3 linked regions of the Oreochromis niloticus genome follow. The protein of the gene in region 1 purifies or fractionates together with the protein of each later gene. This does not show direct contact. Links are inferred from orthologs where the notes say so. Each region holds a gene or a part of one and is shown on either strand. Other genes may lie near its edges. The genes, in order: cdk9, immt and 7SK snRNA methylphosphate capping enzyme.

What was found.
Region 2: the proteins of cdk9 (region 1) and immt purify together in Homo sapiens (affinity purification with mass spectrometry; 3 studies listed by BioGRID, with this or other methods). This does not show direct contact. The link is inferred for Oreochromis niloticus from reciprocal best matches to the Homo sapiens genes CDK9 and IMMT.
Region 3: the proteins of cdk9 (region 1) and 7SK snRNA methylphosphate capping enzyme purify together in Homo sapiens (affinity purification with mass spectrometry; 10 studies listed by BioGRID and IntAct, counting the BioPlex papers as one, with this or other methods). This does not show direct contact. The link is inferred for Oreochromis niloticus from reciprocal best matches to the Homo sapiens genes CDK9 and MEPCE.

What each region holds. Positions count from the first base shown.
Region 1 is NC_031972.2:34,704,750-34,712,249, reverse strand, and holds the start of cdk9 (cyclin-dependent kinase 9), read left to right. Parts: upstream 1-4,091; 5' UTR 4,092-4,205; coding exon 4,206-4,246; intron 4,247-4,384; coding exon 4,385-4,498; intron 4,499-6,176; coding exon 6,177-6,258; intron 6,259-6,347; coding exon 6,348-6,438; intron 6,439-6,518; coding exon 6,519-6,685; intron 6,686-6,773; coding exon 6,774-6,945; intron 6,946-7,029; coding exon 7,030-7,178; intron 7,179-7,264; coding exon 7,265-7,500. Other genes in the region: fpgs (folylpolyglutamate synthase, mitochondrial), read right to left, coding at 1,128-1,364. UniProt on the Homo sapiens protein: Protein kinase involved in the regulation of transcription.
Region 2 is NC_031966.2:2,141,025-2,148,480, reverse strand, and holds the start of immt (MICOS complex subunit MIC60), read left to right. Parts: upstream 1-4,078; 5' UTR 4,079-4,212; coding exon 4,213-4,254; intron 4,255-5,923; coding exon 5,924-5,991; intron 5,992-6,349; coding exon 6,350-6,539; intron 6,540-6,927; coding exon 6,928-7,054; intron 7,055-7,456. Other genes in the region: slbp (histone RNA hairpin-binding protein), read left to right, coding at 321-464, 993-1,106, 1,213-1,284, 2,017-2,139, 2,247-2,402, 2,483-2,591, 3,040-3,099. UniProt on the Homo sapiens protein: Component of the MICOS complex, a large protein complex of the mitochondrial inner membrane that plays crucial roles in the maintenance of crista junctions, inner membrane architecture, and formation of contact sites to the outer membrane.
Region 3 is NC_031975.2:12,332,233-12,340,732, reverse strand, and holds the start of 7SK snRNA methylphosphate capping enzyme, read right to left. Parts: upstream 3,264-8,500; 5' UTR 3,125-3,263; exon of another isoform or gene 3,000-3,124; intron 2,979-2,999; exon of another isoform or gene 2,845-2,978; intron 2,384-2,844; 5' UTR 2,287-2,383; coding exon 475-2,286; intron 1-474. UniProt on the Homo sapiens protein: S-adenosyl-L-methionine-dependent methyltransferase that adds a methylphosphate cap at the 5'-end of 7SK snRNA (7SK RNA), leading to stabilize it.

The sequences.
Region 1 (7,500 bases):
TCTGAAGTGTCCAAATTATTTAAATCTGCAGAGGGCAACTACAAAAAGTATACTTAAGTTTATTTGTTTAATAAAAAATGATTTTTTTTAGCAGTTATTTCTGTAGAATTATGACAGATTGTGTCTAAAAATAATCTACATATTGAGACCAATAAAGAAGTGGCTTAAACCTTGTTTAATCGCCACCAGGTTCCGACTCCTCTGGTTCTCTATAAACCAGCATTAATTGATTTGTGACTGCAGTGAACACATTCCTGATCAGTTCACTGGGCCAATCAGGAGTTTAAAGTCTTACATAAGAAAATGTGGCGTTTATTTTATGAATTATGGTCATTATTACAGTCACAGTGGAGCCTAAAGCAGGATATGCGCCTCGTCAATCATAAACCAAAGAGCAGGCAGTCTGATCCACCCTGAGCCTGCCGGGTTTCATAACAACACCAAGAGGTCAATGGACAGCTACTTCCATCTTTCACATACAGTCTACAGTTGAAACAGACTCAGAAAATCCTGAAAGATAATTTTGCTGCAGTGACAATAAACTCATTCATTGAGTCTCTTTAATATCTGGCCGAAGGAAATCCATGATGGACGCCAAGTGTAAAATTTCATGTTCCAAATGCTCGTGAAAGCAGCAGCAAGAGGAGATAAAAAGGGTCTTATCTCCTCAATTTTGCATAGAGTGGAGGTCAGACTACGGACAGCTCTGACAGTCCCAGCTCTGAAACTGCGGAAAACTCACATTAACATTACAGGAAACAGCAAAAACACCTGAGTTCATCCAGGAAAAGGTCAGGTGAGCCTGGCACGAGTCAAACTAACAGAAATAACATGGCTACACAGAAATACCACAGCACGTGCCAGCGCAGACTTTTAGCCACTGACACTGATAGTCTCATCGCGACCTGTTAATAGCTGTCCAAGCTAACGTGTAACAGCAGATTCCGGGCAGCCTGCAGCTAACTGCCCTCCTCCCCCTGCTGCCAAAGCGCGCTCCTGTCAGCCATGTTTCCATTAAACTCCAAACAGCCCAAAAACTACCTCCAAACTTTCGGAAACAGCCTCGCTGCTCAGTTAGCTAGCTCGTTAGCCGCTGGAGCACGAGCGGCGGCGGTCACGGAGCGTACCTGATACTCCATTCCCGGGATGTGAGGAGCCGTCTCGGTGCTGTAGTGCCGGCACGAAAGACCCGCCAAACTGAGCGCCCGGTCCCGCCGTGCGAGCCGCGCGGCGATGCCCGAGCCCCGCCGCAGCATGCGCGACATGCACAGCATCATGAAGCGTGAAGCTGTTCCAGGAAGGGGACACCAAATATGGAAGGCTCGTTTTTCAAGCGTAATGACGTCAGAACACGCCCCCGTCATTTTTACTTATTTATAAAAAAAAACGTGAAAACGCAAACAAATAAAAAACACGAACAATAATAAACAATAAATAAGCTTTTCTTAAAAAGAAAATATAAAGTAAGCGTGTTCGATAAGGCCAGGGGGGGCATAATCGGCTGACAGTCTCCAATCCGACCTACTCTACGGTTTTGGAAAATATGAATGTGAAAAGAACAAAACCGTAAGTAATAATAATAATGAGCAAATAAAATATATAATTTTAACGGAAGTGAGCAGAATGGACAGGATTAGAAATGAGTACATCAGAGGGACAGCTTAGATTGAGTTGTTTAGAAACAAAGTTATAGAGGCAAGGATGAGATGGGTTGGAAATGTGCACAGGAGGGAGAGTGACTATATTGGACAAAGGATGATGAAGATGGAACTCCCAGGCAGGAGGAAAAGAGGAAGACTACAGATGAGGGCCATGGATGTGGTGAAGGATAGTAGGTAGGTACAGGGTGAGATGGAGGAAGATGATCCGCTGAGAATCTTGGTTGGAGTTATTTAGTATATAATATATTATATTATTATTATATATTATACGCAATAATATGCTTATAATAAATCATTATAACACTATTAATTTTGATAAATGTTTTCATTTGTTTGTTTGTTTGTTTGTTTGTTTGTTTTTGGCACGGTTGTATCTACAGATTATAAATGGCATGCTTTCATTTTTAGCTGTGGAAATTTTCAGAACGACCTGAGATTAGATCAGTATCAGTATTTTTTTCCTTAAATTAGTTTGATATATGTTTTCATTATGACACATAATCATTATTTATTAATTTACATGAGCATTTTTGCTGCTTTGCGGTCGTCAGAATGTCTTGGTTTGTATTTTCACGTTTATTAATTTATCAATCAGTCCGGTTTGGTGCGGAGAGCGCCCCCATGTGGTGGTAAACTAGTAAGCAAGGAGACCCAAATTTGTACTGTATCTTGACTCATAGTTTTGATCAAACGTTTACAGTTATGTCGGTTTTCTAAGATTTTACCCTTAAATTCAGGGCTAAACCCTGGTGAACAGTAATTCACTGCCTTTCTTTAAAAAAGGAATTGGAAGGTCAAAAACAGGTTTTCAGGGGGATCCTTTGGATAATTTGTCTCTGTTTTGTCTGCTAGAAGTAACTTTCAGGTCATAAAAGCTTTTAAAAAAAACTTTAGATCATTTTGGGGTAAAGCATTTGTTTTAGATCTGGTTAGAAGCACAAACTTTGATCCATTACTACACACATTTTCTCTTTGCTGGGCAGCACTAAACTCATCAGTAGTTGAGATTGTTAACATCTTAAAAATTAGTACCAGTCATTACATCACTCCTCAGGATCCCCCTTTCTTATTTAGGTTTGATGGGATTACGAAATAATCTTGTTTACATACTGCAGAGGCTGGCTGATGATGGGTGGGGTCGGGAGAACCTAAAATCCTGTTTATTATTATGCACTTAACCTCCAGCTCTACTTCAGTACGGTATTTAACAGCCTCATTTTCCTCCATTATCACCTGTGCACAGTCGGTTTGATAAAATACTTTGTGTATTTTCTCTGGTGATTCAGAAACTGGGTAATGAAGCTTTTAGCTCTCAAGAAGACCTGGGACCGTCATTTAAGTTTGAAATGGGATAATAAAAGAGTGGGGAAGGATATTTAGAAACATTCAAATACTTTCCAGTGATGCGAGGGATAATTTCTTCACTTTAAGATTGTGCATTGCTTTTATTGGACACCATACAGATTATGTATGATACTACTGTAAAAATCCTGAGTCTTTTGTACATATGCCATCATTTTGTAATAAAATTCAGGAGTTTGGGACTACAATATATGAAAATATTTGCTTGTTTTGCTGTTTTCCCTGGGAGGTAAGACAGAAATATACTAAGGATCTTACCTAAAAGACTGATCTGACAGTGAAAACTAAAAAACTAATTATTTAGTTTTTCAAATCTGATGATTGGTGCTGGGAGAAGGGGAAGAAGGTGGCTTCCATTTTTGTTGTAAAACAAATGTTATAAATGTTGTAAAACAAATGTTTTAGAACAAACATGTTGAAGTTTTCATTCTCCTCAATGTGCACAGCACAGTCTAGAAATGGCAAACTGTTGTCCTTTGTGTCTTCCCTGGTGAACTGTGGTGTTTTTATCCACAGAGTTGATGTGAACAGTGAAGGATTCGTTCGTTGGTTTTGATTAGTGGTTAAAAACATAAAGTTCAACACACACTCAGAAAAAAACTGGTTAATCCCAAAAACAAAACTCCTAAACACAAATTTAACAATGTAGTATAGGCTAGTGTAGTGAGGAATGCTCAAACCCCTACATTGGAGAGACCAAACAGCCACGCATAAACGCATGGCACAACAGAGAAGAGCCACCTCGATGGGACAAACTCAGCTCCATCTGCATCTAAAGGACAAAGGTCACTCTTTCGAGGATGCCAATGTTCACATTTTGGACAGAGAAGACAGATGGTTTGAAAGAGGAGTGAAAGAAGCCATCTATGTCCACTGTGAACGACCATCTTTGAACAGAGGCGGTGGTTTACGACACCAACTGTCTGCCATCTATAATCCAGTTTTGAGATCCATTCCCAGACGCCTTAAGTATTTTTCATTTGTTTTGATTTATTGTCGCTTCTTTTGGGATTATTTTAGCTTTTTGCCCATTTGTATTTGATTTTGGGTACAATAAATTTAAAAATAAAAAAAGAATAACTAAAGCCCGCCCCCGGATCAGTGGGCGGGGCGTCGCTGAGCTCTAGAGGTGACGCCGTGCGCAGACGCTCCACACGTAACTGCGTCGCGGAGTTGGACAAGATGCAGCGGGACAAGACAAGCAACGCCACCGGGGCTGAAAAGTAAGACTAAATCTATTTACTTTTCAATTTAACAAACGGGTTTGCTTTAGTTTGTTTCACCTGCATTTGAGGCGCGTTCTGTGCAAGCCTTGTTTGATGTAACCACTTTAAAGTCTCGTGAATTTTCCTTTTGTCCAGGCCCGATCGGGAGGCCGCCATCATGTCGAAGTACTACGACGGAGTGGAGTTCCCTTTCTGTGACGAGTTCTCCAAGTACGAGAAAATGGCCAAGATCGGACAAGGAACCTTTGGGTGAGTAGTACACAGCAGGCTGGTTGTCTGACTAAATCTTTAACTGCTTTGCGAATTCCGTATAAACGCCAGCTGTGCTAACTGCTAGCCGCACGGAGTGAATGAAGAGCAAGTAAACAACGGAAGTTCCCTTCCTGTATTAGTCCAGCTGCTTATTAAGGAAGGCATTAGCTGATACCTGTTGTTTCGACATATTTTTTAAAACGTATTTAGTTTGTAAAGTTGCAAAGCTTTCATGGGTTATGGTCTTCTGCTGCGATCAACTGAAACAACAGGGCACAAAGATATGGCACGGGAATAATTTGTGACTGGCTAAATGAGCCACATGCTGAAGACAAACCAGGCTCTATCCATAGAGCACCAAAAAAGACTTTGCGTTCTATTCTCAATGAGGGACAACTCTTCTCCCCTGAGATGGAAGGGAGGCAGCTTGACTTCTGTCCTGATGAGCTGATTCTCCGATGCTGTGCCATGCTTCTGTGGGTGTTTATTCTAGGGCTGGGTATCGTCACCGATTTCTAGAATTGATTCGATTCCGATTCACAAGGTCCGGATTCGATTCGATCCACAGTTCGATTCCAAAAGCTGACACTTGTGAGACTTTATCAGAGGTGTAAGCATCACAGCAGATTCCTTTGTGTCAAAGTAACAGAGCATAAAACACAGAAAAACATGAAGATTTTCCCCGCCTGTCTTTTTATAGCAGATAACCACCTTAAAGATATTCTGCAGTAGAACAAAAACAGAAGAAAACCGTGAATCAACATATCAACATTACCTGATGCGGCTGAAGTGAAGCCGAGCAAAGTTACAGAGGTTCAATTAGAGACACAGCTAAACATTTAGCAATTTTGCATAATTTTAAAAAGTTTAAATTTCTTCAGTATTGAACAGCAGAAATGAGGCTTTCTTGTTGGAAGTCGGTTGAAGAAAAAAACCCCCACACAAACAAAAAACAGCGGCCAACAGCGCTGTACATAACGGTAGACTTGTGCGTAATAAGCAAGCGAATAATGCAGAAAACCGAGATTTTTAGATGGGAAGAGAAGAGATGAAGAGAGCTGTGCATGAAGTGCCATTTTTGTCGTGGTGGAAGCAAAACAGCAAAAGTAAGAGGGAATTCGTGACGATGTTTATGTGAAGCGTAGTTTGGATCCAGACCCGCCGATGCATCAGAGTCTTTGAGCTGTCGGCTTTCAGCCCAGACGGGGTGTCAGTGTACTTGCCATCGGGTGAGAAAGCGGACATCTCACTGATTCTGATGCGTCGGTGGGTTCGCACTTAGGTTTTTAGCTGTTTGGTGGCTGTCGAAATTCTGTGAGGTTTAACCTGAGATTCTGGCGTTTCGGGTAAAATACATTTAAATTTTTTTTAAATTGATTCAGGATTTTAATGAATCAATATTGTGTTATTCAAGCTAGAATCGATTTTAATTGGGAAATCGATAATCAAAACCCACCCCTAGTGTTTAGTCTGTAAAGGTCTGAGTACTCCTGGCGGCACTGCACCACTTACATGATGTTGTGGATGAAGCAGTTCTTGTCTGAAGTGGACTGAGATCATGTCTACCACACAAATGCCAGCAGTGTTGTTTCTCTACCCTACTATAGGTTAGGCTATATACCATTTGAGTTGAGTAGTTTAAAAAGCCGACTGTCTAAAATTGTCTCTTGTACAGGGAGGTGTTCAAAGCGAAGCACCGACAGACAGGGAAGAAAGTTGCACTGAAGAAAGTGCTGATGGAAAACGAGAAAGAAGGGGTAAGAAACCAGAGTCTTGGCATCATTTAAAATCCAGTGTGCTGAAAGTTGGTGTGGATGATAATGTAGCTGGTTTTCCTCCCCTTTAGTTCCCAATCACAGCTCTGAGAGAGATCAAAATCCTTCAACTGCTCAAGCACGAGAACGTTGTCAATCTGATCGAGATCTGCAGGACCAAAGGTTAGTGTGACACGAGTGCATGTTTTGTGTGGATTTCAGTTTTTTGGGGTCTGTTTTTAATTTTCTGTTCTCCTTTTCAGCCACTCAGTTTAACAGGTACAAAGGCAGCATCTACTTGGTGTTTGACTTCTGTGAGCATGACCTGGCTGGGCTGCTGAGCAATGCCAACGTGAAGTTCACGCTGGCAGAGATCAAGAAGGTGATGCAGATGCTGCTCAATGGGCTGTACTACATCCACAGGAACAAGGTTAGACTCTCAGAGACACAGTGTGTACTTAAACCAAATGAAATTCCACTGTCAGAATATTAATGATGATCTGTTGTTCTTTGCTCAGATCCTTCACAGAGACATGAAGGCAGCTAATGTGCTCATAACCAGAGACGGCGTCCTGAAGCTGGCTGACTTTGGTTTGGCTCGAGCCTTCAGCCTGGCCAAGAACAGCCAGGGGAACCGCTACACTAACCGCGTGGTGACGCTGTGGTACCGACCTCCAGAGCTGCTGTTGGGTAAGGAAAAAAAAAAAGTAAAATATATTTCAAATCTACTCCTGGTGCAGTTTTTTAATTTCTGTGTTATCTTTGTTTTTGCAGGTGAGCGAGACTACGGGCCTCCAATCGACCTGTGGGGGGCTGGCTGCATCATGGCCGAGATGTGGACACGGAGTCCGATCATGCAGGGGAACACGGAGCAGCACCAGCTGACCCTCATCAGCCAGCTCTGCGGCTCCATCACGGCAGAGGTGAGCCTTCATTCTTTCTCTCGCACTCTGTTTGTTCTGTTTCTCAGCTCTGTGTTAACTTAACTAACCCTCTGTTGTCCCATCAGGTGTGGCCCGGTGTAGACAAGAAGTATGAGCTGTACCAGAAGATGGAGCTGCCCAAAGGTCAGAAGAGGAAAGTGAAGGACCGCCTCAAAGCTTACGTCAAAGACCCGTATGCCCTGGACCTCATTGACAAGCTGCTGGTCCTGGACCCGGCACAGCGAATCGACAGTGACGACGCCCTCAACCACGACTTCTTCTGGTCAGACCCGATGCCGTCAGACCTCAAGAACATGCTCTC
Region 2 (7,456 bases), on another chromosome or scaffold:
TCTAAACTTTAATCTGTCTAAGAAGGTTCAAAAGAAATCCCCGGAGCATTTTGAAGCAGTTAGTGCAGCTTTGCCATTGTGGAATACGGAGACGTGAAACCGTCATGAGTGTTTTCCTGTGTGGGACCGTGCGTCCCACCGTGTGTTTGCAGTTCTTGCACATATTTGCTGGTTTTGCATTTTTAACAGCCATGATTTTTTTTCCCTAATTTGACACAGAAGAGAATGTTTTTGAGAATTGTTTGCAGAAATCTGATATCAAAACAAGAATGAATTGGCATGTTTAAATCTACACGTTTTTTTTGTGTCTTCTTGTGTAGCTTTGGCCCATCTCGGTGGTCCCACTGCAGGAAGAGGGGCGTCAATGGGAGCCTGCGGAGCAACAGCGAGGCAGATGATATTGATAAAAGAAGGAACGGACACGCCGACTCCAGCTACAAACACCCTGATCGCAGACATGCTAGGTGAGAGTAAGCTCAGTTAATGTGGAAAGTGATAAATGTATATTAATGCAGGGAACTCATAACTGAAAAGCCATGAGGCGGCTGAAGCTTTGTGGATTTTTGGCATTTGTTGGGGAAATGTTTCAGTTTTAGTGTTTCAGACCCACACAGCTTTAATGGCCCTGTTCAAAGGTGCTTTGTCAAATGTAAACAGCGTGAGAATTTCATTGGTCTGTGTAGTTCACATCCAAACTCCAGTGTAGGCTCGAGAAGAAAAACAAGTTTGTTTGTTTGTTTTAAATTAAAATAAATAACACAGTGGTTGTAAAGTAATATTTGGTAAATTATTAGAATGATTTTAGTTTGAATGGTAGTGTTTTAAAAAAATCAAACTACATTATTGCTGAGTGAAGCCAGCCAGTCTCTGCTCATGAACCACTTTAAAAAAACAGCTTACTGACTCCATTACCAACATGTGGCCACAACATCTGCAGGAACTGTAGCAGTAACATCCCTGTGTGTGTGTAACCTGTGGTATTGTCCTCCTAGCTTTACTACTCCAGAGAGCACAGGTCCAGTGTCCCGCTGTGGTCAACAGGCTGACTGGGGCAGCCAGGTGGAGGACGATGAGATGAGGAGGGATGTGCACAGAGACATGCAGCGGTAATTAAACAGTTTCTACATTATTTCAGTTGTCTTTTTAAGCACCTGAAAGCAGAGACTGGCTTCCTGTTTTGGATTGCAGACTCACTGTTTGCACTGTGTTCAGTTACAGGAGGAGGATACTGGGGGCAGAATTCACCCAGAGGGAGAGAAGGGCCTCGTCTGGCTCTTCTGGAAGGTATCTCATTCTCTCACAGACCTTTCAACTCAGAATATTCATGAACTGATGGAACACTCACTTCTCAAACCACACATCCACCTGCAGCTATACAAGTGTGCAATTATTAACATTAAATAAGACGAGACAAAACGTATTCATCCCCAAAATAATGGAAACATGAAATAAAATCAACGCAGTATCACTGAACAAAGTGGCGAGTAAGGTAAAACAGATTGCACTAATGGAGCTCAGTTATATGGTAACAAAAGTAAAGTGCTCAGCATCAAAATATGATGTGATAAATATCATATCTGCTATGAGACGATGAGGGTTTTCTGTCCTTGTGACAGCGAGGCTGAAACACGACGACGTGTCAAATATGGCTTTAACTGCTGTTTCCCCAAATCCTGAACTGATCCAGTTTTGGTTTGTCAGAACTTTTCTAGTCTTACTGACATCTCAACACACTCCAGACTACTGTTACATAGTTACTGTTACGTAGTTACATTGTATTATATCATGTCATGGGCTTTGAACTCATTACTAATGTAGTTTTGTCCATTAAACAGTAACACAGGTTTGTTTAACATGACAATAACCTTTTCATTTTTCAACAACTTTGTGTTTACAATCATTTTAGAATAAAATCATTATGAAGGAAGTCGGGCTCTTTTCGTGATGAATGTTAGTTGTGCCTCTATTTTTGTATTGTGTGCATGTGAATGTGGACTAAATGTGTCTGTGCTTCAGCTGTGACTCCAGAGAGGGAGATAACTTGGAAACCGATGAAGCTGTGTTACTACGACGACAGAAACAGATCAACTATGGCAAGAACACGCTGGCCTACGACCGCTACATCAAAGAAGTTCCTAAGTAGGTCAACAGAAACGCATGCTGTGGAACATCCAGTGTAAAGCCTGTCCACTGCTTGTGTGTGTAATACACTGGTCAACGTTAATCCCCGCGTTTCTTGTTTTCAGACACATGCGTCAGCCAGGCGTTCATCCAAAAACTCCCAATAAGTTCAGGAAGTACAGTCGTCGCTCCTGGGACCAGCAGATCAAACTGTGGAAGGTCAAACTACATGCCTGGGACCCCCCTGCAGAGGAAGGCCAGGACAAGACCCTCGATGTCGTGTAAGACACTCGTACACATTCTGCACGTCGTCAGTCAGCTGAAAGCCGTCCTCATGTATGATTTCTCCTTGTCCCACCAGTGAGGAGCTCAACCTTGATGATGTAATGGACATTGAACTAGATTTCCCAACCATTACTGACTCCCAGAACAGCCAGACCTCGCTGCCGATACACAGCCTGTCAGTGGAGGTGAGTGGAAGTCATTTAGGTGCTGCTGAAATGTTGAGGCCCACACACGTGCTGACGACTGACGGACAAGTAACGATTGTAGAGTTTGTTTAAGAGGTTTTGACTAAATCTTTCTGGAACCTTGGTTTAAATATTTATTTGGTCCATTGTTTAGATGATCCATCAGTTTTTAAGAAAATAAAGATGATGATGGTGGGATTGCTTATAAACTTGGCACAAAAAGAAAGGAAACGTGTTTGCTCAGCTTTCTCTTTACTCAACTCTGCTGTTTAACCCACGAATGGATTTTTTCTTTACAAATGTGGCCCATTTAAGGGGAAACAACCAGGCTGTCCAATGGGAAGAAACACAGGTCTCCTTACTTTTTGTGCAAAGTTTAATCAACAGATGAGAAAGCCACCCTTACAAACACTGTATTAAATGATGTTGTTTGTGTTGTGTTGCTCAGGATGAAGACTGCGGTACTCCGGTCAAAGTACAAAGGACAGCAGAGCCTAATATGTCATAGCTTGTTATTGAATGGTTGAGTCTTCCCCCCGACATCGACTTCACACAGTCCACTCAGAAAAACTGCTCCAGCTGTCAGCTAAGAGTCTGTGTGGACACAGCATCACTCTGCTGTGTCTTTGGCTGGTAGTCATTGATTATACTTTAATATTGAGTTTTGTTTTCACCATATGTTTCTCCATCCACAGTTTGGGCCATTTGTTGTAGTTTATCTGTTCAGAGTATTTTATGGCAAGATTTTACATTTTTAATCAAGCATGTTTCAGAATTTGGTATGTAAAAACCCCCACTTGCTGTACCAGTGAGAGGCCTGTTGGAGTGTGCATCTAGTTTCGTGCAAATGTGAGCTTACATCTCTCATATTCTACCTGAGAAGATTCCAGATGCATAGAAACTGTCTGAACTCGGAGGGGTCGTCTTAATAGTTTAAAGGACGTGGGAAAATCGGAGACAATGATGTGTGTTGTTTTGAGTTATCCTTGAGAAATATTGGGCTGTGGCTTTTTGTTTTCTGTTCTGTTCTGTTTTGTTTTGTTTTAATACAAATGTAATTGTTTCTTACTGCTGTATCTTTAATAGAACTTGAAATAAAAAAAACAAATAAAACAAACAAGAAAAATCAATATTTCTTCTTTTTTTGTGATTTTTGGCTAAAAACTGCTGAAAACTTGGTCCACCGTTGGACAGCATGCCACAGATTTAAACAGTGACTTTGAAACCAGAGTTTCTCTCTGACACACTTCACACAGCTGATGTAGTAATTAATGGAAAATGTGTTGAATACTGTATGAACTCACACATAAACCAGTGTTGTGTGCTTGAGAGTATAGATAACCAGAACTGCCCGTCACTGGTGAGAATCTGTTTAGCTTAGTTTAGGAGAGCTGGGAAGAATAAGGATCATCTGTCTGACTTACGTCAGATGGAAGAATGACGCGAATGTAATTTAGCAACATCATAAGGGGGCGCTGTTGTGCACGCAAACGTTTAATCCACGCAAAGTACTGAGGAGAAGAAGGGTGCGCGAAAAGACGAAGAAGAGCAGCAAAGAAATAATCTGTTTCTGTGCAGGTCGATTTATTTACGAACTCAGAAACCAAAGTAGGAGAAGACCATGCTGAGAGCGTGTCTGAGAGGGGCTAATGCTACCGCCCGGGTAAGCCTTCTGTCTGCTCCCCAGCCGCGGGCTAACGTTAGCGTGTTGTCATTCAGTGACCCAGAGCCTGCCTCAAGGTGCCACAGTCAATTTTGTCGTAGACTAATTCGGGCTGTTAACTCTTCGGTGCTGTCGAGCGCTGTATTTGAAGCAATGCAGTTGGTTGTGGAAGCTGTCAAAGAGATCAGCGCAGCATGCTAATGTTAGCCGGTTTTCTTCCGGTGACAGATGGATAATGGCGTTTTAACCATAACCAAGCTAACGAGTTTGGCTAAGTTTGAGCGGAGAGGTCATCATGGCAAAAACCAAAACTTGTCTGTTCATTCTGTTTGACCTTTTATCGGCCACAGGTTTGATAACAGCTAACCGGAGCAGTATTTTAAAATGCTACTAGCGGCACTAGCATTTAAAAACGCGTTTTCACGTAGACTTTATAATGAATAAATAAACGCTGCAGGTTGTCTTCGTAAAATCCCCAAATACTAACGCATGATGTGGATTCTCGAAAACTTTGTTCTATTTCTGGGATTGAATGTGCAGCTAGACTTCTGTACAGTGACAGAAAGGTGGCTGTCACCTGTTAAAGTGGACTGGAATAAGTTTGACATCTCTGGTCTGCAGCGTCACACTGTTGCACAGATGTTTTATTACGAGGGAACCTCGGCTCTTTTCACCTGACTAAACGCACAGTAACATATTCGTTTCTGCCGGACTCACCTTGGATTTGTTTGCCATGCACCTGAATCTGTATTTACAAAATAAGAGTTCAGTTTACTGCTCAGAAATCATGCTTTGTACTTCATTTGCTGATCTGTTTTAAATGGTAAGTCAACAGTTCTGTGCTTATTTTTGTTTTGATTTCATCACGATAATTTATGTATTTTTATGATTTAACAGCAAATGAAAAACCGCGCTGAGCTTATTACTTACTGGATTTTTTTCTTATGCTATAGTTAAATGGGCAAGCTCGTGTGTCACAAGAATATCATGAAATTTAAAACTGAAATCATCAAATGCTGATTACCTGGTTGTCATCGACATGTTGACGACCGACCTGTCAGTATAGTACTGCGCAAAAGTCTCGACACCCCCCCCCCTCACCGCAGGCGTCTATCCTTCAAGCTCGGCTCCTCTGCCAGAGGCCTGATAGCTTGATGGTCCTGCGCAGTATCTTAGCTGTTCCTAGGACTGCGCTCTGCGCTGTTTCAGTCCACACCCCTGTCTGTTTCTTGACTGCCACCTTCCCACTGAAAAATGTAATTGATGAAGCTGTTCTGAAACTAACCCGTGTCCATCCAAGCAGTGTGGCATCGTCTTGACAGAGGATGAAACCTCTGTTTCTGAAAACTATTTAATGTAATTACAAGAAAACATGGCTCAGAGTGTTCAGGCTGTTTTGAAGAGTAAAGGTGTTCAGACAAAGTACTGATTTTCAGGCTTGTTAGAGTTGCACAAAGTCTGTTTTTACCTTTTGAACCGCATCTCTGCACCTAATTCCCCAACCCTTTTATCCAAGGATAATAAGGAATGATAAGGAAAACATTGGGTAGTTTGTTGCTTGCACTGGAATTTGTTGCTCTAAGGTGTCCTTGCTATAAATGTGTGTCCGTTCTGGATCTGTCTGACATGGATTTCTTTTCACTGTCACGCTTTCCTCACCACTTTCCAGAAGAACTACAGGAGAATCCCTCTTACCAGTCTGCAGCAGTGTCGGCACTACACAGCAGGAGAGAGCAGGTAACACACCAACACACACAGTACAGTATTCAACTGTCTTCTTAAGGGCTTCTCACATAGATGTGACATGTGCTGTGCTGACCACCAAATCTGTGTCCCGCTGGTCCCTGCGCTCTGGCTCCACGTCATTTCAAAACGTGGATCTCTCATCCTCAAGAGAAGATCTTTAGCGGTATCCGTAGCAGTGTGTCATTTCTACAACATTGTTTTCCTCCTGAGGTCACTATTTGGGCCTAAAGTTGTGTCATAAAGTCAGCTGAACTAGGATACACACAGAATGCTGCGTCCCGTCTCAAAGGCCGTTAGCGAGACTGTCCTGTGGCATTCATTCATGTCTGCTTGTCCTTTTTCATTCCAGTAGTGCTTCCAAAGTGGTTGTTGCTGGCTTGTTGACAGTAAGTGGTGGCATTGGAGGGACCATACTCTATGCCAAATGGGACCACAAGTTCAGAGCAGCGGTTGAGAAGAACGTCCCATACTCAGACTGGCTGCTGGGTTTGGCTTTGGGACCCCCTGCCCAAGATCCTGGCCTCCCCATAAAGAAACGGGTACGGTGCTGTCCCCAGCTCATCCTAATTATAGTTACAGGACACAAAGTTTGTTTGTATTTCACCATCAGGTAGTGGAAGAACAATCTAACATTTTTTTCTTTTACCGACTCTCCATTTGTGAGCAACTATCTGTTCTCTGATGGTTTACTGTATGTTAAAATGGCTGATCAGACTGCGTTGAAGCCCCCATACCTCCACCTCCATACCTCCACCTCCATACCTCCACCTTTCCAGTGTGTGTCTGTTAAAATTTGACTCAGAATTGAAGATATCAGCAAATAAACTTCCATACAATACAATATAAATATTTGTATAGAAAGAGTAAAAATATTTCTACAACCACACTGTAATAATGTATGCTTTGATTTAAATGGTTGCTGTTAAGGTGGAGTTGGCCCAGCCGCCCTCTATGATAGAAAAACAAGTGAAGAAGTCGGCGAAGAAGGAGGGAGCCGAGGGTCCAGTCAAAGACTCCAGCCCCGTCCCCAGTAAGCCTGCACAGAGCATAGAGGGTAAGTGTGGCACCCACTGTCATTATAACTCGTGGCTTCATGTTACCATCTGCCTTTTATCGTGTGCTTTTTCAGCTTTATTTCTATTTCTGTTTTGTTAGATTTCTTTCACAGTAGTCGGGTGGAGCACCCACAGTTTCACTGTATCTGTGCAGTGACAGTAAGAGGCTGTTGTATTTGTACACAAACGTTGTGCCTGCGTACACCACCACAGTGGGTTTGAACTCAACCAAGATGAATGCAGCACAGCTGCAATTCAAGGATTCTAACACTAGTATTGGATTATTTAGTTATTCATTATAGACACTTGTATATCTACTAAACCACTTTCAGAGACACATTTTGTAACTCCTCCAAATGACTCCATTACAAATTAAACTGATAAACTCCAGTTGGACTTGT
Region 3 (8,500 bases), on another chromosome or scaffold:
GGAAGCATTTTGCAACGCTGGTTTTGATAAGTGCTATGCAAATAAATTTTTACAACCAATTGCCGTATGGATTCATCATAATACCTTTTAATATTTAGCCACAGCTCAACTAATGTGACAGAAAAAGAAAAGGAGCCACTGACATGATTAAATGTAAAGGTCAGTTTTTTTGAGATATAATACTATATAACTGTTTTATAGTGGGGAAGAAAAAAAAAGGTCACAGTGAGAGGAAGTGTGTGCACAATTTGCATCAAGTTCTCTTGAGAGGCTGGTCAGTCCTCATAATGCACTCACATTTTTGTGCATTTTTACACATTTTATTCAGTTACCCTAACATTAATTTATAAAGCAGGACACACACAATGTCTAAATTTTTCTGAATTTGCCATCTAGGTTCAAAATATGCAGCAACACAGAAATCTGAGCCATATTCCCGAAAGGAAAAAAATAAATAAAAAAATCCTCTCTTACCTTGACGAAGGACACATTTGAAGGAAACTCCCCAGGCTGCACCGTGGATGTTTGTGTTAGCGGGGGTGCAGCAATGGGACCCCTGGAGATCCGTAGGGATACAGGAAAAGAGCAGCTCTCAGAGTGATCAGCGGGGGGTGAATCACAGTCTTCTTGCTCCATTTCCTCTGTTTTGCTGCCCTGCCTCTGGGTCTCCATCTCATCCGTGTGACACGACTCATTGTCATTTCCAGTATCTGCAGGGCCACTTTCTCCTTTCACAGGTTTCCCATTTTCGTCCCTGCTCTCGGCTTCATTGTGCTCTTTTTCTGTGCCCGTGTGACTCGCGTTTCCATTTGTCTCCTCCTGTTTACTAGTCTTTTTGCCCTGCATTGCTCGCCTGGCCTCTTGGGTCTGCAGCTCAGACAGATAATGTCTTATGTTTTTACGAGCTGCATGTATCAGACCACTGTCAATGTCTAGGCCCAATATGCGGGCGGGTCTTAGCATTTTGGCGATATAGAGTGTTACATGGCCTGAGTTGCACCCTAAATCCAGTACTTCTTTACCTCTAAACCACTCGGGACGAAGCAGACGTAAACGAGGGTCTTCACTGCAGCCCGGGTTGCGGTATCCATAATACTTGTTGTAATTCCCATACTGGAACTTCTTCTGCTGTTCCTTTGTATGAGAGTGGGGCTGCTGGTGCTGGCGTATTCCAGGGCCTATTTTGGAACCAGATTTTGGTGTGTGAAAGGAATTTCTTGCTCCCCCTGCACCAAAATGCCTGTCTCCAGGTCCCGACTTGCCAATTGGAGTAGAATGGGTGACAGGGGGCTCCATTTTGCCCGAGTTGCGCCTTCGCTTGCGTCTACTTGTGTGCTGGTACGGTGCCCCTAAAGTGGAATCCTCCACGGATGCAGGCGGCATCTCCTCCTTGCAGCTTGCTGAGCTGCAATCTGTGTGCTCGTGGGACTCTGCCATGACACTAGAAACACTACCGGATTCGTTGTTGGATTCTAGTGCAGAACATGAGGCTAAGGTACCTTGAAGAGGTACAGAAGGACCTATTTTAACTTCACTTTTTCCTGATTCTGAGAGGTTCATTTGTGTGGCTGAAATCCCAATACTGCCACCACTCCCACCTCCACCCCCATGGTGCCTGTTGCGGTGTCTCTTCCTTCCTCCACTCTTGAAGGGAGAAGCCAAAAAGCTGCTGTCAGCTATCCCACTGTTCAGGTTCAGTGGGTCTGTGATGTCCCTGGGGATGAGTATCTCCACAGGGTCTCGACTTTTTGCTGGCAGCGGAGAGGATTTGGGAGTCTCTGCATTCAGCGCCTTGTTGACCTCCTCATCCAGCAGGCTGTTGAGATTCAGCGGGTCAAAAATGTTCCCACCCAAGAGGAAGTTGGTGGGCAGGACAGAATCGCTCTCAGAGTTGGCCCTTCGTCGCCGTTTGCCAGATGAAGGATGCTTGAAACTAGAATTTGCTGTGTAGCGCCGCTTTGTTAGCTTCGTTTGTTGTTGCTGTTGTTGTTGTTGTTGTTGTTTGGAATGATGAAAGCTATTTCTGCGATTGATGCTATTCTCGTTCCCTCTGGCTCTCTGTCCAGCATTGTCTGCGAGGGTGAGCGCATCAGTTGTGCTGGTGTGTTTTGGCGAGGCAGCAGTGCCCAGAAGAGGGCAAGCAGCTGCAAAGTCAGGGGTAGCTGCAGTTTCCTCCATCATCACAGACACACCACCGTAACCTCCAGGACAATCCGTGAGCTGCAGAGATGACGTCGAGCTAGGCTGTGGACTGCCCATTTTTGCTGTATCCTCATCAACAGACATCTCTTTTGATTTTCAGAGCTGATGAAGACATAGAAGGGTTTTTTGTTGTTGTTGTTGTTTTTGTTTTTTTTGGGGGGTGGGGGGCAATTTTCTGAGCCTGAAAAACAAAAGAAACAAAGAAGTTACAGGAAGGAAAACTGATGCCATAAACTTAACATTCTTTTAGATATGGTGAACAAAATTGCTTTAAACCTGGTGCCTCCTCATTGTTGTGATTACACACATACACACACACACACACACATACACACACACACACACACACACATACACACACACACACATCTGTTAAGTAAAGTAACATAAGTTGGCTAATATTACTACAAAAATATGCTCAAGGCATCCTGGGATGTCCAGGCACTTGCACATCCAAGGGCCACTGTATCTGTATTTATACCTATGAGGTGGGAGTTAAAAAATAACCCTTTACATTCCACTGTGATTTCCTAATAACAATACAGAAAATTCATCTTTTTAGATACAGTGAATCTCTTGGCTCACACCCTTATCACATCTGTATTGTGGTATCTGAAGCGTGTCTACACAGGGGTTGCTGACCTGAAAAGTTTAGGAGTCCCCGTCTGGCACTGTTACCCAGTTAGCAAGCTAGCTCTTAGCTTCTCTATCGCGGGCCAAGAAGATTGAAACGTCGAGTAAACGTTACGCTCTACTCCGGCCAGAAAGCGCTACCAGACAAGCACCAAAGTACCCACCTCGATATGCTGCTGCCCGAACCCCACTAAAATCGTGAGTCACACTCACGAAAGTGATACCATTTCCCAGATGGCCACGCGTAGTCAACAGGGTAGCAACCACCATCAAAATATAACAGTCTCACCTCGCAGCTCGCGGCTCTCCCCGCCTCCGGCCGGACTGTCACTACCCCGCACTCTCTCCGCTTGAGCTAACGTTAGCGCAGCTAGCACACAAGTGTCCCTACAGCGACACAACAGTGCTAAGCTACGCAAACAAGCGAGCAGGCACGGCTCGGGTATCCTGCACTGGCCTGTAGGCAGCAAAGGCTCCGGTGGCCACGAAACTGTCTTGTCGACTTCTTCAGTCAACTCCTAGTGGGCCAGTGTGAGGCAGGTTGGTGAATAAATTATTCCATTCGCTGACAGAGGCGGCATGGCGGCGCATCCGGGCTCCGAGCTGTAGCCCAAGATGACTGGGGCGGAGATCTCTGACTGGTGGCTGCGAGGCGGTGAGGAGAACTCCCCTCTACGATATTATAATGAGCCTCCTACTGCAGGTAACATTAGAGCCGATGATAGTTTTGTTATTGATTGATTAGCAGCTTAAATTTAATTCATTTATTAGACAATATATGAAAGGGAACAACTTAACAAAACAGGAGGGCTGAGGGACACTCTAAAGTGAACATAGAGCTTTCCCGCCTTGGTTAACTACCCTGACTATCAATTCAGCTAGTTGAGATTAGTTTCTTTGTTGCTACTCGATTATTCGACTAATTTGTTTAGTCCTAAAGTCAGACTTTAATCCATACACCCTTACAGCCCTAGTAGACTAATAGTAGAGTAGGCCTTATTAGTAACCTGAGTATTGCATAGCCTGCACATTAGGTTTTTATAAAGTTTACTGATAAGCAGCAACCTCACAGTTTCCTTTTGTATGTTCTTTCCCAACTGATGTGCATGCACTTTTGCAAATGCACGTTTCTAATTATGCATGTCAGAGGTATCAAACATGAGGACTGGGGGCGAGAATCAACCGGCAAAAGCAGCCCACTGAATGGCTTTGGAAAATGTGAAGGAGGACGTAAACTATTTATATTCAACAGAATTTTAACAACTTCTACAGCGTTCCCCCGTGCCTTGGCCATTTATACTACAACAAAGTAAATAATACACAAACAATTAAAAAACATAAAGTTCCAGTTTTTCACTATCTACTGTAGAAATGTATGATTTTTACAGTGGGTTAATCGTATAAATAAAAGACATTCAAGACATTGACAAAATGTTTTTGTTTCAACATTTTAGAACAGTCTTTGCAATTTTTCTCTAATTTTACACATTTATTTTTTATGCCCTTTTTCCCCTAGTATTAAAATATTTCAAACATTAAATATGTAGTGGCCAAACAATCCCTGTAGTTATAATCCCTAAAAATCACAGCTACTGCCTTTTCCTCACACACACACACACACACACACACACACACACACACACACACACACGTCCTCTTTTTAGTACAGAGTTTTGTAACATGAAGGTATATAGTGTGATGAGAGCTCACACTACACATCTTCAGGCATAATCACACCCTTTGTAGCTACATGCATACCTTCATAGGGTGTGAACTTATTTTTGCTTTTAGTTTTGAAACTGGATGCCTCTGTCCCACTGCAGCCTTTGCTTAACTGTCTGCATGATGTCAAAGACTGATTAACACAGAATTTCCTCACACTAAATGAAAATAAGACTGAAGTTATGGTTTTTGGAACTCATGCCCTTTGAACAAGTTAACTGATACCCTCGGTCCTCTTGCTTCTCATCTTTCTCACACCATAAGGAATCTCAGAGTGTTTTTAGACAGCTCCTTTAAATTAGAGAAGCAAGTGTCCACAGTTCTGAAAACAAGTTTTTATCAGTTACGTGAAATTGGCAAAGCTAAGCCTTATCTTCCTCCAAGAGACCTAGAAACACTTATTCATGCCTTCATCACCTCTAGACTGGACTACTGCAATTCTCTCTATTTGGGTCTTCAATACTCATCTCTCCATCGCTTGCAGTTAGTCCAAAATGCTGCTGAGCGTCTTTTAACAGGTGTTAGAATGTATGAACATATCACTCCAGTTTTACCAAATTTACACCGGCTCCCTGTAAAGTATCGTATTGATTTTAAGATTCTTTTATTTACTTTTAAAGTTTTAAATAATATGGCGCCCAGTTATATAAAGAAATCCCTCAACATGTATGACCCCAAAAGAGTGCTGAGATCATCTAACTAGATGCTCTTAGCACAACCGAGGTCTCTATTGAAGCATAGAGGAGATTGGGCCTTCGCAGCAGCAGCACCCAGACTCTGGAATAATCTACCAGAGGATATTCGTACTTCAGAGTCTATTCAGTCTTTTAAATCACGTCTTAAAACTTTTTTACTTTGGCTTTTAATTCGAGTTCAGTTTGAGTACCATCAGGCCTGTTTTATGTTTTTAATGTTAATTCGTTTTCTTCTCATTTATCTGTATTTGTTTCTAATTTATCTATATTTGTTTCCCTATTGCTTTCTCTTGTTCTTAACTGATTGTGAAGGACTTTGGTTAACTCTGTTGTTTTTAAATGTGCTATACAAATAAATTTTGAATTGAGTTGAATTTTGGTACCATAGCTTTGATTCAAACTTCAAAGTTAATTTAGATGACAGACTTTACAAGAAAGCCCTGTAAAGTGTGTCATAATTTCTATCTTGACCAGTGTTTACAGCAGGGTTTTCAAACTCATTTTACATGTGAGGTCAAATACAGCGCATGTCAGTAAAAATGCCCTTTCTGTCAGTTGGAATAAGTTTAGATGCACATTTTATTCCTGCCATATTTCAGTATAAGAAAAAATAAAGTGCAATTTTAACAGCACATCTCAGTTGTACTGCATGGTAGAGAAATGCCACTCTGTTTAATTAAAGAAATTTGTCAACATGAATCTTTTGGGCTTAAATTGTAAAACATAAATGTGTAAAATTACAGAAGAAGTTCTGGCAGCTCATTGTGCAGACTGTCCTGTAATTATAATGGAGAAAGTTTTTCTTAACTCACAAAAAAATGGAAAACAGAAATTTCTATTGTGGGTTGTGTGGGAAAAAAAGAAGCAAATTTTTTTGTAATTTAATTGTTTATCTATTACGTTGGTGTACTATTAAAGACATAATCAGTCAGAAAAGCTTTACAATTTTTGAAAGTAGACTTAAAACTCTACAATGTATGAGGGGTGGCTGTGGCTCAGGTGGTAGAGCAGATCAGCTACTGATTGGAAGGTTGGTGGTTCGATTCCTGGCTCCTCCAGTCTGCATGCCAAATATCCTTGGGCAAGATACTAACCCCAAATTGCCTTCAGATGCGTTCATCGGAGTGTAAATGTGTGTGAATTATGTGCTTATTAGTTGCACTTGAGTTTAGAAGTGCTTGTATGAGTGGGTGTCATTGGGTGAATGAGGCATGTTGTCTAGAGCGCTTTGAGTACTCCGGGAGAGTAGAAAAGCACTATATAAGAATCAGTCCATTTACCATCTCCTTCACATTTTTCAAAGATGTCTGATTCTGGGCCTTTTGTTTAACACCCCTGGTCTAAACTGAGCCTTTTATAAACCTCTGCATCAGCTAGAAATTGTGTGCAGTGTACAGGCAGCTTCTTTTCACTTCCATCACCTTTGAATTATAATTATCAAAATTTTAAGACACGGAAAACTTTGATTTTGGTGGTGACAAAGAAAACATTTACTGAAAATGATAGATTTTCAGTGAAATGATAGATTTTCAGTAAATGTATAGCTTTGTCCGTCATTGAAACAGAAACCCTAAATGCATAAAAAAATAGGTGTGAACTGAACTAAGCCTCACTGTGTTATGGCCGCGATGTTGAGCTGATTTTACATCATGTCCACAGTAAAGTTACATAAAGTGAGCTTGACCTAAATCATAAATGTTTGAAGTTATAGAAAAGGTTCTGGTAGTTCATTATTCAGGCTGTCCTGTTATTATAAATTAAAATATGAAGTTTATACTAACTCAAAGAAAACGTCCGTGTACTTTGATTTTGGTGGATGGATCAAGTAAAAGTTGTAAAAGGTATGAAACTACAATTAAAAGTTCAAAAAGCACTCCTTGACATTTTATAAACTGAGTGGGCTGGGTTGGAGTCCTCTTTGTTATCATTTTTAAGCAGGGGCAAGAGATACTGGGATTTCTTTTATCTTGATTTTAAAACCTTTTGGAAGATAACATACTCACTTAAAATAACAGTTAACAGTCCAACCCTAAAGTGAATCTCTGGACATGTCATGTTTTATACCCTGTATTTTTTTAGCTAGTTTTTTTTTTCAGTTTGGTTTTCTATAATACAAATTAAATGGAGGTAGCACGGTGGTCCGGGGTCTTTCTGTGTGGAGTTTGCGTGTTCTCCCCGTGTTTGTGTGGGTTCCCTCCGGGTACTCAGACTTCCTCCCACCGTCCAAAGACATGCAGTTTGTGGGGATAGGTTAATTGATTAATCCAAATTTCCTATAGGTGTGAATGCGGGAGTGAATGTGAGTGTGAATGGTTGTCTGTCTCTGTGTGTTGGCCCTGCGACAGACTGGCGACCTGTCCAGGGTGTACCCCGCCTCTCGCCCTATGACAGCTGGGATAGGCTCCAGTGCCCCCCGCGACCCTGAAAAGGATAAGCGGAAGCGAATGGATGGATGGATGGATGGATGGACAAATTAAATGTAAAGTAAGCTATGGTACAATGAAGCCAAGACAAGTTGTGAAACATGTTTACTGAGCAGGCCAAGTCAAATTAAACTCCTTTTCCTTTCCCCAGCGATACAGACTGATATATAATATTAAAAGCAGTATTATTGTGCTTATTAATGTGCAATATATATTTGTGTAAGCTCATTATTTAGAGCAGTTTATTTACAAAATTAGTTATAAAGTTTCTCTAGGTGCAATAATATAACCCACCCAGTCCATCTTAAAAAAAATTTTTTAACAGCACTTACTTCTGTCTCCTTGGCAGCCTGTTTCTGCCACTGAAAAAAAAAAGTATTTAATGACAGCAAATTTCATGTTAAATTCCTTATTTTCTATATTTCCCCAGATGTTTCAGGTAGTATGTTGAAATTTTGAGATAATATATTTTACTTATGGATTGCAGTTTATTTGTTTTATTTTTATTTTTTTCAGAGGTGGAAACCAGGATCCATAGTCTCCCAGTCTTTTGTATTTTGTATCTTAGAATAAAAGATAAAGAGATGCTGTGCTGAGGGTGGTGCTATAGCATTAGGGATTTACTGAAGCTGCGTCCTCTAATTATCCAGAAGGGGGAGACAAAACATGATTTTGATACTATGCTGAGAGTACACTGTGGACTGCAGATATTCAGGATTTCTTTTATATAAGTTCTTCTTCTGGCTTAACTTGTTGCAGTTACTGTTGTTGCTCTGCAGCAACTTTGAACCTAAAATGTTACATTTTAGCTTTTAGCAGATACAG